2 linked regions of the Elephas maximus indicus genome follow. The protein of the gene in region 1 purifies or fractionates together with the protein of each later gene. This does not show direct contact. Links are inferred from orthologs where the notes say so. Each region holds a gene or a part of one and is shown on either strand. Other genes may lie near its edges. The genes, in order: MOB1A and PJA2.

Region 1 (7,946 bases):
GGTTGCAAATCCTGCTGGGAGGGGAAACTGCACGATGAATAGAAACTCAGAGAGGGGAGGGGAGAGGGTGTGGGGAGGTGCAGATGAGGCGGGGCTGGCAGCTTTATAATTTCTGCTTTTAGCATCTGTTGTGTCCAGATGGTGTGCAGGAATCTCTCTTGAGCCAAGGAGGGAATAAAACTCCCCAGTCTTTGTACATTATAGACTGTGTCTGGTGGGGAACAAATTGCCCTGCAGCAATATCCACCTTTTTTTTCTTTTAAACACAAACCTCTGGGTTTTATCCCCAGCGGAAATTTCCTGGTGGCTTAATGGTTAAGAGCTATGGCTGCTAACCAAAAGGTCAGCAGTTCGAATCCACCAGGAGCTCCCTGGAAACCATACAGGGCAGTTCTACTCTGTCCTATAGGGATGCTCTGAGTCGGAATTCACTCAAGAGCAATGGGTTTGGTTTGGTTTTAGTCTTGACTGAGAAATAGTCTTACCTTTGACCCCTAAGTGGACTATATTGCTAACGTGGTTATCATATTTTTATGTCTTAGAATGAAAAAACAGTAAACTGCCTCATTAAAAATTTTAAAGTTGTTTTCATATTAAAATAATATTATTTTGGATGTGTTAGGTTAAATAAAATATATTCTTAAAATTAATTCCACTTGGAATTTTGTTTTTGTTGATTTTTGCTTTTATTTCTTTTAAATTTATATTAAACCAAAAAAATCTGTTGCCATCGAGTTGATTCCAACTCACAGTGACCCTATAGCGACCCTATACTAGAATATTTTAAATTACCTAAATGCCTCACATTATATTTCTATTGGACAGCACTGGTCTGAGTAAGTATGTACGAAAAACTGAAAATCTCATGTAAAAATTTCTCACAGAAAGCACGTGCATATCCAAGAATATACACATAAACGTACTTTCCAGTTTAAAACACTGCTCTATAGTAGCACATTCTTTCTCCAGGAGAAATCCTGGTGGCACAATGGTTAAGTACTCGGCTGGAAAGGTTGGCAGTTGGAACCCACTAAGTGGCTCCACAGGAGAAAGACCTGGTGACCTGGTGATCTGCTCCCATAAAGATCACAGTCTTGAAAACAGTATGGGGCAGTTTTACTTTGTCGCATAGGGTCACTATGAGTCTAAATGGAGTCAATGGCACCTAACCAACAACATTCTTTCTCAGAAGCCAAGGATACAGAACTAGCATAGGATTTACCTTGTGGCTCTCACTCCAGGCTCCTAGTGCTATAATATCCCCGTGGTTTTCCCACATGGCTCCTTGTAGAACTGGTTTTAGGAAGGATCCAGGCACCTCCGCCCTTCCCAAGAAATATGCACTCCATTTCTGGTAATTCCACTGCCATCTGAGCAAAGATGGTTCTCCACTGGGAAACCTGGAAACCTGAGAAAGATAAAGGCCAAAAAAAAGTGAATGCCCATAGTCTCTGAGCAAACACCTGCAACTAATTACTAGGCAACTCAAAAACTGCTGAAATGCAGGGATTACATCAGTTAAAAAATAGCCTAAAAACTATTTAGCCAAATATGTAATCACATTCATTTAGCAAGTATTCGATGAATACTTACCCTGTACAAGGCCCCACACGAGGCACATGTAAAATATAAATAAGTCAAAGATTCCACTTTTAGAAAACTGGTCATCTAATAGAGTTGGTAAGACATGTCAAAATTTCTTACCTTTTAAACAGCAAATATTGCTTGAGGATGTGTATATTTCAGGCATTAAGTGCTTAATGTACCTTACCTCATTTAATCCTCACAACCCAATGAGATTACCTCCATTTTACACACCAGAAAACTGAGGCAAAATGTTATGAAAATATCCAAGGTCACATGTTATTAGGAAGCACTGGCAGGGTTCCAACTCAGACAGCTCCAGAGTCTGAGCTTTTAGCTACTATTGTACCTTGCTTCCCCTTTCAAAAAAAAAAGGGTTAAAAAAGTATTTGCATAAAAAAAAAACGGTTGCCGTTGAATCAATTCCGACTCATAGCGACCCTATAGGACAGAGTAGAACTGCCCATAGGGTTTCCAAAGAGTGGCTGGGCGTATTCCAACTGCCGAACTTTTGGTTAGCAGCTGAACTCTTAACCGCTATGCCACCAGGGTTTCCAGTATTTGCTTATTAGGGAAAAATCGGAATATGCAGAAAAGTAGAAAAGAATATAAATACATAAGCCCTCAAAGGCCTACTACCCAACACAATTGCTGTTTACCATGTAAATACTGCTTTTTAACTTGAACTATAATTATATATTGCAATAACGATACAGATAAAGCATTATCAAAGTTTGGAGGAAGGAAAGATGACTTCCGGCTGGGTCCTGAAGGACAGGGTAGGATGTGGTTATTGGTCATCCCAGTCAGGAGGGATTATAAGCACAGGAGCGTGGACTCAAGTAGGTTTAAGGCTTAGTGGCAAACAGCAAGGCATTGTTTGCCAAGAGCACAGCCCTGGACAATGAAGCTAGAAAATAAGTTAAGGGCAGGTCATAAGAAGCCGAGAATTTAAGGAATTTTTTTTTCCTAAAATGAAATTACCTTTCATTTTGCTGATAATACTGTACTGATGACCATTTATTCCTGTGTCAATCTCCTCTATTAAACTGGAAATTCCTCAAAGGTGAAGTCTATGTCCACATTCATTTAACAATCATTTGTGAAGTAACTTCTTTGTGGTGGTACTGTGCTGAGCACTGGGGATGACAAATGAACAAGATACGTCTCTGCCTCCAAGGAATTCACAGTCTAGTGGGAAACAAAGTATAAGACAGGTCGCATGGAAATAACAGGGTGGGTTTCTGTCACTTGCTACCAAAAGAAGCCTAACAGTTACCCACATCTGGCCACAGTTTCCTCCTTCTCTGTGTTCCCACTCCCACCTTATAGAAGAAGCCAGATTAAAGGGAGTAACAAAGAGGTTCTTGAAAAATAAAATCATTGTAATCAAATGAGGAGTCTGGCAGGATGGGTCAGATAGAACGGAAAGGCTGATGTTGAAGAAACTTCCAGTAAGATAAGGGCTGAAAAATGCCCATGGAATATTTTAAGATTCTGAGACACTGGTGGCCTTGGTGAGAAAAATTTTTGTGGGAGGGTGGGCAGGGTGAAGAATCTGGACTGATGTGTGTTGAGAACAGAAGGATGGTAATATCATGGAGACTGAAGACTCTTATTGGGTCAGAACCGCTTTTTGCATTGTTAGGTGGTCCTTTGGGGGCCTCGCGTAATGTTAAAGCAAGATTAAAAAAAAAATTGGTACGAAAGCCCAATGAGCACATGAAAAGATGCTCAACATCAAACCTACAATGTGATACCACTTCACACCTGCTGTTGCCATCAAGTGGATTCTGACTCATAGCTACCCCATGTGTCAGTAGAACTGTGCCAAAAGACTCCAGTCAAAAAGATAGACAATAACAAATGTTGGTGACAATGTGGAGCAGTTGGAGTCTTCACATATTGCTGGTGGAAATGCAAAAGGTTTATTCACTTTAGAAATAAATTTAGACATAATTATCACTCCTAGGTCTATATCCAAGAGAAATGAACACACTGTCCACACAAAAACCTGTACAGCAATGTTCACAGCAGCATTTGTCATAATAGCCAAAAAATGGAAACAGCCTGACGGGCATCAACTGATGAGTGGTTAAACAAAATGTGGTATACCTCTACAGTGAAATATTATTCATCCATAAAAAGGAATGAAGTAGGAATATAGTTTACAACACAGACGGATCTTGAAACATTATGCTAAGTGAAAGAAATCAGACACAAAAGACTACATATTGTATGATTCCATTTATACGAAATATCCAGACTAGGGGAAACCCTGGTGGCCTAGTGGTTAAGTGCTGCCGCTGACAACCAAGAGGTTGGCAGTTCAAATCCGCCAGGTGCTCCTTGGAAACTCTATGGGACAGTTCTACTCCGTCCTACAGGGTCGCTGTAGGGTCGCTATGAGTCGGAACCGACTCCCCGGCAGTGGGTTTGGGTTTTTTTTTGGTTTATCCAGATTAGGCAAATCCAGAGAAAAAGAAAGTAGACTACTGATTGCCAGGAGTTGTGGGAAGAGGGGAGAATGGAGAGTGACTGCTAATAGAGACGGGTCTTCTTTCTGGGGTGATGTAAATGTTCTAGAATTAGAGAGTGGCGATGGTTGCATAACTGTGAATATACCAAAAAAAAAAACCCTACCGAATTGTGCACTTTAGAAGGATGGATTTTACAGCATGTGAATTACATCTTAATAAAAATAAATTAAATTTTAAAAATTGCAGGGATGGACAGCTCTCAGAGAGTCCCCCTATACGACCTAGATAGTAAGGACCGAACCCAGCGCTACCTAACCGGTCCAAAGGCATGGCTGACCTCTCCTAAGCGGAACACCGCAGTAACCACCACCGGAGCAGGAGAGGAGGAAAGTCCCTGCCTGGAGGCTCCTGATTGGCTGAGCTCTAGGAGGGGCGTGGCTAAAGGATGCGTCTCGTCCTTACCGGCGGGCGGGGCGGGACAGGCCCTTAGCTCGCGAGATTTTGCTGGTTCCGCATTTGGGCTCGAAGAAGCGGGGGAGACGGGTGAGGTGGGCGCAGCGGGTTGCACCGGCTCGACCCCCGGCTCGGAGCAGCGGCCGCCCGGCTTCTGCTGTCCGCGGGCTAAGGAGCGTCGCTTCCTCTCGGTCCCTGCACCGACCCCGAGTTCCGTCTGCGGCGGGGGGCGGCGGCCCCTCCCCTCCCCTCTGAGGACCGAAGATGAGCTTCCTCTTGTGAGTGGGGCCGGGCCGGGGGCGCCGGAGCCGAGGGCCCGGGTCGGGGAGGGCGCTGGGGATCTGGAGGCGAGGGCCGGGCCCTGTCCGGGCCCCGGGGTCGGGGTAGCCGGCCCTGGTTCTGCCCCTGCTCGGGGCCGCTGGGGGGCTGGGTCGTGGAGGGAGGCTGACGGAGGTGAAGGTCGAGGCAGAGGAAGCGGAGGGAGCAGGTTGGGGAGTCGAAAGGCCCCGAGGCCGGTAGCGCCTCCAAACTTTTCCGCCCGAGCGCTCCTGGGGGCGGAGAGACCATCGAAGGCGGAGCCCCGGGCCGCGCCACGGGCTTCATGTTTCTTTCCAGTTTCAGAAAACATTCCATGCTAACTTAGATTTTTCTCCATTATGTATCCGGTTTTATTATTGTCGGTATTTGAAATTACCCCTACGGAAAAGTGCCGGCTCCGGAAAATGTGGAGAAGCGTGGACTTAAAATGCAGGCCTTGCAGCCAGACCGAGCTGTCCGGTTCTGGTTCTGCCCCCTTACTGACTTAGTGACTTTGGATAAGTTAACTAACTTCTTTTTTCCTTGGTAGAAACTCACTTTAGGGATACTGGCCCAGATGAGGTTAAAATGGAAAAGTATGTAAATTCTCTGATGATTCGTAAGCACAGAAAGGTTTGAGAAGCATTGCTTTGGCACCCAATTTTTTGTTCTGGGGACACTCTCTACGTTGTATTATTGTTTACGATATATGGTTAAATAAATATCCATTTAGTTATGGACGTTAATTCACGTTCTTGTCATTTTTATTACGCAGTGTTTCATAAGAATACTATAAAAACCAAACCCCTTGCCGTTGAGTCGATTCCGACTCATAGGGATCTTATAGGACAGAGTAGAACTGCCCCATAGGGTTTCCAGGGAGCTCTAAACCGCTGCGCCACCAGGGCTTCAAGATTACTATACTAGCGTTTATTTAACCAGTTCTTTATTGTGAGAAATTTGGATTCTATTATTTTGCTATTATAAAATAGCACTCCTAAGACTACCTTTGTCCAAATTGCATTTTCCCTCATTTGGGTTATTAAAGGCGTAGTTTCCAAAGTATGATTACCATGTCAAAGTGTGAATGATTTAGGTTTTAATTACAAATTTCCATGTTACTAGGACAGTAACTGCTCCCCACTGTCTTTTTCCTATGAGTTACTGTTAATGGTTTGTTCGTGGATATACCTATAAAAGTCATTCTTCTGAAGTGTACAATTCAGTGGTTTTTAATATATTCATAGAATTGTGCAGTCATCACCACTATCTAATTCTAGAACATTTCTCATCACCCCCCCCCCCAAAATCCCATACCCATTAGCATTTACTCTCCATTCCCCTGGAAGTAGACCACTAGTCTGCTCTCTGTTCCTATACCAAAAAAAAAAACCCAAACCCATTGCTGTTCAGTGGATTCCGACTCATAGCAACCCCACAGGACAAAGTAGTACTGCCCCATGGAGTTTCCACGGAGCACCTGGTGGATTTGAACTGCTGGCCTTTTGGTTAGCAGCCTGAGCTCTTAACCACTATGCCACCAGGGATTTGCCTAACTGGCCATTTCCCGTCAGTGGCATCATATAATCATACAAAACACTTAGCATAATGTTTTCAAGGTTTGTCCAGGCGCTACTAGGAAACCCTGTGAGGCAGCTCTACTCTGTCCTCTAAGGTCACCTTGAGTCGGCATCTGGGATCTGTGTTGTAGCCTGTATCGGTACTTCACTCTTTTTTATGGGTGAATAATATTCCATTGTATGGATATACCACATTTTGTTTATATCCATTCATCCGTTAATGGGTATTTGGGTTGTTCCTCCTTTTTGGCTATTGTGATTTAGGCTGCTGTAGACATTCACGTACAGGTGTTTGTGTGAACATGTGTTCATTTCTCTGGGGTATAGACCTGGGAGTGGAATTGCTAGGTCATATTGTAACTATGTTAATCTTTTGAGGAGCTGCCAAACTGTATTTCAAATTGAGTATACCATTTTACATTCCCATCAGCTATGTACGAGGGTCCCAATTTCTTCACATCCTCATCCACACTTGTTATATTGTCTTTTTTTATTAAAGCCATCATAAAACAAAAAACCAAACCCAGTGCCGTCGAGTCAATTCCAACTCATAGCGACCCTATAGGACAGAGTAGAACTGCCCCATAGAGTTTCCAAGGAGCACCTGGTAGATTCGAACTGCTGACCCTTTGGCTAGCAGCCTTAGCACTTAACCACTACGCCACCGGGGTTTCCAAAGCCATCATAGTGGGTGTGAAATGTTATTTCATGGTAGTTTTGATTTGCATTTTTCTAATGTCTAATAATGTTGAGCATCTTTTCATGTGCCTATTGGCCATTTGTGTATCTTCTTAGGAGAAATGTCTTCAAATCCTTTGCCCATTAAAAAAAATGTACTGTATTTTTTTTGTAAACCTAAAACTCATCCAAAAAAAAATGCACTTTATTTTTTTTTTGGATAAGTTTTAGGTTAAAAAAAAAAATTGCACAGATAGTACAGAGAGTTCCCATAATATTCCCTCTCCCCTGAATACACAGTTTCTCCTGTTATTAATGACTTGCCTTTGTGTGGTACATTTGTTACAATTGATGAAGGAGTATCGCTACATTATTATTAACTAAACTCCGTAGTTTGGATTAGGTTCAGTCTTTGTGTTGTACAGTCCTCTGAGTTTTGACAAATGCATAATATCATGTATCCACCGTATAGTATCATGCTTACCAGTTTTGCTGCCCTTAAAATGTTCTGTGCTTCATTGTGCATCCTTCTCTCCCTCCCCAAGCCCCTGGCAACCACTGATCTTTTTATTGTCGATAGTCCGCCTTTTCTAGAATGTCATATTGTTGGAATCATACAGTACATAGCTTTTTCACTGGCTTCTCACTTAGCAATATGCATTTAAGGCTCGGCCATGTCTTTGAGTCTTGATAGCTCATTTCTTTTTTATTGCTGAATAATACTCCTTTGTATGGATGTACAAGAAGCCCTGGCGATGCAGTGGTTAAGCTCTTGGCTGCTACCAAAAGGTTGGCGATTCGAACCACCGGCAGCTCTGCGGGAGAAAGATGTAGCAGTCTCCTTTTGTAAAGATTACAGCCTTGGAAACCGTAT
Region 2 (8,314 bases), on another chromosome or scaffold:
ATTCCTATAATGTGACAACACACTCCTGCTTTTCACCCTGGGTTTCCCATGTCCTTCCGGCCAGCTCCTGTCCCTTCTTGCCTTCTCATTCTGCCCATTTGGAGCTGCCCATTTGGTCTCGTGTATCTGCTTGAACTGAGAAGCACACTCTTCACAAGTATTACGTTTTATACTCTAGTCTAATCTTTGTCTGAAGAGCAGGCTTTGGGAATGTTTTTAGTTCTGGGTTAACACAGCATTCAGTAGGCATGGCTTCAAGAGTTCCTCCAGTTTCAGTCAGACCATTAAGTCTGGTCTTTTTATGTGAATTTGAATTCTGCACCACACTTTTCTCTTGCTCCATCAGGGACCCTCTGTTGTGATCTCTGTCAGGGCTGTCATTGGTCAGAGTCAGGTTGATGGAGTTTCTGGTTTATGTGGCTCTTTTGTATCTTGGGCTGATACGTTCCTTGTGCCTTTGATGTTCTTCATTTTCCTTTGCTCCACGTGGGCTGGGACTAATTGATGCATCTTAGATGGCTGCTCACAAGCTTTTAAGACCCCAGATGACACTTACCAAAGTGGGATCCAGAACATTTTCTTAATAAACTTTGTTATGCCAATAACGTAGATATCCCCTGGCACCATGGTCCCCAGATCTTAGCCCCTGCTACTCTGTCCCTCGAAGTGTTTGATTGTGTTCAGGAAACTTCTTAGTTTTGGTTTAGTCCAGTTGTGCTGACTTCCCCTATACTATGTGTTGTCCTTTCTTTCACCTAAGATGATTCTTGTCTACTATCTAATTAGTGTCCATCTGCTTTTGATGCTTTCTGCATCATTCAATGTTTTGCCTGTAGAATTCTTCAAAATTGCAACTCAAGTTTTGAATTTTTTCTTCAGTTCTTTTAGCTTGAGAAATACTGAGTGTGTTCTTCCCTTTTGGTTTTCTATCTCCAGGTCTTTGCATTTTTCATTATAATACTTTACTATGTCTTCTTGAATGGCCCTTTGAAATCTTCTGTTCAGCTTTTATTTCACCATTTCTTCCATTCGCTTTAGCTACTCTATGTTGACGAGCAAGTTACAGAGTCTCTTCTGACATCCATTGCAGTCTTTTCTTTCTTTCCTGTTTTTTTTTTTTTTTTTTAATGATCTTTTGCTGTCTTCATTTATGATCTTGATGTCTTCCTACAACTCGTCTGGTCTTCGGTCATTAATGTTCAGTGCATCAAATCTATTAATTGAGATGGTCTCCAAATTCAGGTGGAATACACTCAAGGTTGTACTTTGGCTCCCATGGACTTGTTTTAATTTTCTTCAGCTTCAATTTGAACTTGCATATGAACAATTGACAGCCTGTTCCACAGTCAGCCCCTGACCTTGTTTTGACTGATGATATTATGCTTTTCCATTGTCTCTTTCCATAGATGTAGTAGATTTGATTCCCATGTTTTTCATCAGTGAGGTCCACATGTATGTTGTTGTTGTTAAGTGCCAAAAATCAAGTTCGTTGCAACTGATAGTGGCCCTACAGGACAACGTAGAACTGCCTCCAATTAGGAATTTGAACTGCCGATCTTTTGGTTAGCTGCCGAGCTTTTAACCACTATGTCCCCAGGGCTCAAATGATGTACTGAACTGGGCAAATCTGCAGCAAAATTCCTCTTTACTCTGTTGAAAAGCAAAGATGTCACTCTGAGGGCAAAGCTGTGCCTGAACCAGGCCATGATGTTTTCAATCACCTCATATGCATGCAAAAGCTGGACAATGAATAAGGAAGACTGAAAAAGAATTGATGCCTTTGAATTATGATGTTGGTGAAGAATATAGAATATACCATAGACTGCCAGAAGAATGAATGAATCTGTGTTGGAAGAAGTATAGCCAGCATGCTCCTTGGAAGCAAGGATGGCGAGACTTGTCTCAAGTACTTTGGACATGTTTCAGGAGGGATCAGTCCCTGGAGAAGAACATCTTGCTTAGTAAAGTAGAGAGTCAGCAAAAAATAGGAATACCCTCAATGTACTGAATTGACACAGTGTCTGCATCAATGGGCTCAAGCATAATAATGTTTGTGGGGAAGGCGCAGGACCAGCTGTGTTTCCTTCTGTTGTACACAGTGTTTCTATGAGTTGGAACTAACTCAATGTCACCTAAGAACAACAAAACAATAATATGTATTTAGTATTTACCACATACTAATCGGAAACCCTGGGGATGTAGTGGTTAAGAGCTACGGCTGTTAACCAAAAGGTCAGCAGTTCAAATCCACCAGGTGCTTCTTAGAAACCCTATGGGGCAGTTCTACTCTATTCTATAGGGTGGCAATGAGTTGGAATTGACTCGACGGCAACAGGTTTGTTTGTTTCTTTGTTTTTAAATCATAATATGGAACCCTGGTGGCACAGTGGTCAAGAGCTTGGCTGCTAACCAAAAGGTTGGCAGTTTAAATCCACTAGCCATTCCTTGGAAACCCTATATGGCAGTTCTACTCTGTCCTGTAGAACTGCTATGAGTTAGAATGGATTGGATGGTTGCAGGGTTGGTTTTAAGCATAATACAAGGAGCCCTAGTGGCTGAGTAGTTAAGCATTCAGCTACTACACGAAAGGTCAGCAGTTTGAACCCACCAGCCACTTTATGGGAGAAAGATGTGGTAGTCTGCTTCTGTAGAGACTAATCATTAAAAACTCTGTTGTGCTCAAGTTAATTTTACCTTGGAAACTCTATGGGGTAGTTCTACTCCGTCCTGTTGGTCGCTGTGAGTCAGAATCAGCTAGATGGCAACAAAAAAAAAAAAGGTAAGCATAATTTGCCTTACATAGATTAGGTTGTTTAATCTACATAAAAACCCCATAAGTAAGCATTGCTACTTTCCCCATATTTAATGAGAAATTGAGGTTGAGAGGTAAGTAGAGTTCCCAGAAGCACACAGCTATGCACATAAGGAGTACAATGAGAGTGTGATCTGCTTGATCCCAGAGTACATTGCTTGTAAGCCTCCACAGTGCTGTTTCCCCCCAAATAACAGATCACTTATGATGCCTCAGATGACTTTAGTTGGGACACACATACAAGATTCAAAATAATAACTCAGTGAGAAAGTGATTCCTACTTTGCTACTATTGTTTGGATTACATCATGATGAAAATGTCATTTAAGCACTATATCTTTAATGTATGTCTAATGCTTGGTAACCTCTCCTTTTAACACAGTGAGTAGGCTTCTAGAACCTTTTAGTAGGCAATAGTTTTCAGCCAGAATTTAAAAACATTATGTTTACTTAGTTACTTTCACCTTAGGATAGTGATGCTAGTTTTCTTTTAGCAGTACTTTTATAAAGTTTTCCTCTTAAAAAATGTGAGAAAAAGTACATTTGTTTTAAAAATAATAATTACTGCATATAGTATACACAGATATGGCATGAAAGAGACTGAAATTTGGGAAACTGTGCCAGAACAGGTTGTCGTTGTTATTATTAGCTGCTGATTCTGACTGATGGTAACCCCATGTGTGCAGAGTAGAAAATGCCATAGGATTTCCAAGTCTGTGATCTTTCAGACGCAGAGCGCCAGGCCTGTCTTTCGAGTTGCCTCTGGATGGTTTGGATTGCCAACCTTTCCGGAAGGTTAACCATTTGCACTATCCAGGAGCTGCAACAGGTTAGTGTATACAATCTTAGCAATATTCTAATGGGAAATTAGAAACACGCCAGAAAAGTACCAATTCTCTTTCAAAGAGGGAGGGTCTTGGATGCAAAGAAAACCAGAACTTCTAGAGCAACACGCGTAAAGGTAGAGAAATGTCAAGTGGGAACTGTCCTCCCCAGTAAGAAATGTCCTACAGGGGTGGGCTGAAAATTAGACTTGGTTTTACGAAGTGTCTAGCAAATTCTCATCATCTGGGTTTCTATAGTAAATTTTGGATAGTTCGTTTCCGTCAATAGCAGAAAAATTAACAGTTTGAGTTAGCTGGCAGAATTTGTAGTTGCCAGGGGACAGTACAAGAAGTGGAGGTCTTCATTCAGGGCGGTGGGGACAATAAACATATTTTGTCACCAGGCGTTGGGGGAGGGGCTGGGGCATGAGATGGGAGTAGAGTGGGATTGTAATCAGAGAAGCAGGCATATTCAGGATGAAAAAAGAGGACACGTGCAGAACGAAAAAAACAATTTTTTATCACTGACATAATTAACTAAACAGTTACCCGGGTTTAAATTAAGCAAGATGTCCAGGGACTACAGCTGTTATATTTATTTTGGTTGCTTGTGATGGGAGCGGTTACTTCTCGGCTTGACAACCGATCAGCCTCAAGATGCAATCTGGGAAGCTCTGGTCAGGCCTTGGCTATAAAGGGGAAAGGCCTCCTTGTACACCGCCCCATTCCAGTACAATCAGAAATGGGAAGCGGGGAGAGAACTGACTGCGGTGGGTGGATAGAAGGCACTGTGTAGTGCGCAGTCAAGATGGGCAAGCGTGCTCTTCTTACGTCTGCTATTTTTTCTTCTCCCACAAGTATGAACAGCAACGGAATGAACTTTCATTATGCCAGGAGACCATAACCTGGTTAGATTTCCCGCTGAATCAGGAACGACTGCAATGCTCCATTTTGGTAGCTGCTGTTGTAATCCTGAAAAGTCTAGCTGCGCCAGACCTTCTCAGTTCACGGCTACTTCCCTTTCCCTGAGACCCCGCCCTTTTTCCCCCAGCCAAACCACAAAAGGCCTGCTGTTCCAGACCGAGACTGGTGCCCCGCCCCCTCCCCAAACGTCGCAGTACTGCAGGGAAAGAAGGCTGCCTCGGACGGGGGCGGAGTCGGGCTGCGTCTTTCCGCTCTTCGCCCAATCGGTGACGTCCTCCTGAAGGAGGAATGGGGAGCCGGTCGTAGAAGTAGTCCAAGTGTTTTCTCTTTTTCTGCCACGTCCCAACCATTGACGTGAGCCCACTCCTCAGATTGTCAGTGGATATTTAGACTGCCCCTGCAGAAATCCTTTCAATCTATTGGTCAGAGCTGTTTTGGGGGCGGGGCTTTATTTCTATCCTTCGCCTCTGCCGCGGCGCAAGGGGCGGGACGCGCTGCCACCGCCTCTGCTTCCGCCGCCGCTGCCGCCGCCAGCCCCTGCGCGTTCCGCGGGGGAGGAGTCGGAGGCGGAGAAGAAGGCGGTGGTGGCGGGTGGAGGATCGAGCGCTGTTCTCGCTCCGGAGCCGCTGCACATTCGGTGAGGGGATTTTTTTTTTTTTAACTGGCCTGTTATGATGTCGGGAGTGCGAGGGATCGGGGCGAGGAAATTGCTGCTTCAGTTCCTCGATTTGTTAGTTTCTCCCCTCAAGAAGGAGCGGGGCCTGTTCCTGGTCCGCTGCGCCGGCCATGGTGGGTGGGGTTGATGGTTGTAAGAGGCCTTCTTCGCCTCCTGGGCCGTGCCCAGCATGGACCTCGGGCCACATTCGTGTCCGTGGCCGCTGCGCCTGCTGACTTCCCTGAGGATGCCGTCGATTGGTATCGGGGGGCTCCGCTGCCCTCCTTTTCCTGCTGCCTCTTCTGCTGTCCTTGGTGCTTTGGCTAAGGACCCCGCACCACAGCCTTTCTCCCCACATTTGCGGCTGTCTAGGAGTGTGTCCCCCACTAACACCCCACAGCCGTCTTCTCTGCCCATCTCCAGTCATCTGGCATGGAGCTTATCCATCTTACGCCACAGGCCTGCACCCCCCCTCCCGCCGAAAAGCCTTCCGTTACCGCTGCTCTGGTGGGTGTATTACCATTTTTCCCGGTTGTCAGCGAACTCGGGCACGCAGATACCCTGCACAAACCACAGCTGTCGTTTTTCTCCCGGTATTAGCACCCACCATTCCATCACCGCTTCTCCCTGTTGGCGATGTCAGATCAAAGCACGCCTTGATTGAAGGCCTATGCACCTTCAGCTTCGGCCTCCCTAAGATTACTGTTTGGTAATCATTTTGCGCACATTCAGAACGGTGAGTTTAAAGCCGCTCAGACCAAGTTGAAGAAAAGGGGAGGAGGTAATAAATAGTCTTTTTGCAGGGAGGAAGAATAATCTGTTTGTAGACTTTCCACGCATTAAAAAATACATCTGCGTAGACACTGCTTTGAGCCTGTTCTGGTTCTGTGAAGTTACACATTTTTTAAAGTTTCATATATATATCTGTTATTTTTATCATGAAATATTGATCAGTTAAATTTCTTTAAAACGGCAGTCACCTTTGCTGAAGACTACAGATCATTTGAAGAATATGTAAATATACCCGAAGATAACGGAAATAAACGATTAAACTGTTTTTTCAACTTTGTAGTTGTCTTCTGGAATTCATGTGATTTTTAATGAAATAACTTTGATTTTTTACTTAATTACAGGCATGCAAGCTTGGTGTAAAATTCAAACAGTATATTTGAAAAGACTATTAGGTAAAATGTGAAAATTTCTCTTCATCTCCTAGTCCCTCTCCAGTATCTAGAGTTAACAATTTAGTATGCATCTTTTAAAATCCTTTTACACATGCACTTTTACACACACACACACACCCAGTTTGGGCGGGGGTGGGTGGGGAAGATTGTACCAAACACATTAACATATCACTTGCTTTTTCATTTAATTATCCATCTGGGAAACTTTCCCTGTTATATATAGGTCTACCTAATATTTTTTAAGGGTTAAGTGGTATTTCATTAATTTAATCATTCCTTTATTGATCAAGAAAAAAAAAAAAATGCCGTCTAGTCTATTTTGACTCATAGCGACCTTTTAGGACGGAGTAAAACTGTCCCATAGAGTTTCCAAGGAGCACCTGGTGGATTCAAACTGCTGACTTTTTGGTTAGCAACCATAACTCATAACCACTAGGCCACCAGGATTTCCCCTTTATTGATAGATATTTAAATTAATTGCAGCTTTTTTGCTGTCACAAGTAATGCTTTCTGTGCAACCAAGTTTTTAATTTATTGATTTATTTTTAACTATAAACTTTAAAATTGTACTTGAGTTTAAAAATTGAAATAGTATGGAAGAATATAAGATCCCAGAAAAAAAACTCGAATATAAGATAAAAAAGTACAATTCCCACTTGCCCTTTTAGTCCTACCTTCATCCTAAGAATCACTGTTAACTTGCTTTCATCCCAGTCATCATTAACAATTTCGTAAACAACTTCTGTGTGTGATTATTTCTGAAGGGTGGATTCCTAGAAATGTAATTACTAGGTTTAAAAAAAAAAGTGTATCCATATTTTAAATTTTGGTAATTTCTCCCTCAATACTTTTTTCAGAAATATTCTCAACTGTTTTTTTTTTTTTTTAATGTATTTCCTCCTTCAGATGAACTTTAGACTCAACCTGTAAAATAAAAAATCCTTACCCTTTACCGTCAAGCTGTTTCTGACTCATAGTGACCATATAGGACAGAGTAGAACTGCCCCATAGGATTTACAAGGCTGTAATCATACATCTTTCCCCTGCAGAGTGGCTGGCTGGTGGGTTCAAACCTCCAGCCTCTTGGTTAGCACCCCCAGGGTTCCTTAAAAAAGTCCTTGGTGATTTTGAATGGTTTCATATTGAAATTTTAGATTACTTTGGAGATAGCTTACCTTTATTGTATGGGAAGTGGTGTGTCTTTTAGTGAGGTCTTTATGTTCTTAGGGAAGGTTTTATAGTTTGTTTTGTTTTGTTCATATGTGTATGTATATATATGATATTCCTTCTTTTAGTATTCTTAGCTATTTCATGGTTTGATTGCTGTGGTAGATGTAAACTTTGCAGCAACATATTCTCTTTGTTTTTGTTCCAGTTATAGGAAAGCTTTCGAATTTTCTGTTATCGTGTTTCTCATCACTTCATTGAGTTGATGTTTACCTGAAAATATTCAGTTTTGTGGTTTCCTTTTCAGTTTTTATAAATCAATCGTTTTTCTCTCTCATTGTTTTGGCTATTATACATACTGTATAATGTTGCATAATAGCAGTAATCACTAGAAACTTGGTGTATTTCTGGCTTTAAGGAGAATGTTTCTAATTTTTTAGTATAAATTATAATATTTTTGGAAGCTTTCTGAGAAATAGCTGATATTAACCCAGTGCCGTCAGGTCAGCTGATATTAGGTGATAATATCTCTTCCTATTCTTGGCTTTCCAAAAGGATTTTATTGTTGTTATTTCATTTCTGTTGACATTTTTAAAACCACAATTGGGTATTGAATTTTATTAGATGTTTTTTGATATCTTTTGAAGTAGTTATATAAGGCATCACCAAATATTCCCTGGTTAATATTTTCCTAAGAAAGCACCTTTTTTAAAATAATCAATTTTATTGAGGATAATTAACATATAATA

Evidence for each region.
Region 2: the proteins of MOB1A (region 1) and PJA2 purify together in Homo sapiens (affinity purification with western blotting; 3 studies listed by BioGRID). This does not show direct contact. The link is inferred for Elephas maximus indicus from reciprocal best matches to the Homo sapiens genes MOB1A and PJA2.

Annotation. Positions count from the first base shown.
Region 1 is NC_064835.1:61,694,169-61,702,114, forward strand, and holds the start of MOB1A (MOB kinase activator 1A), read left to right. Parts: upstream 1-4,589; 5' UTR 4,590-4,781; coding exon 4,782-4,795; intron 4,796-7,946. UniProt on the Homo sapiens protein: Activator of LATS1/2 in the Hippo signaling pathway which plays a pivotal role in organ size control and tumor suppression by restricting proliferation and promoting apoptosis.
Region 2 is NC_064820.1:118,560,309-118,568,622, reverse strand, and holds the start of PJA2 (E3 ubiquitin-protein ligase Praja-2), read left to right. Parts: upstream 1-5,087; 5' UTR 5,088-5,196; intron 5,197-8,314.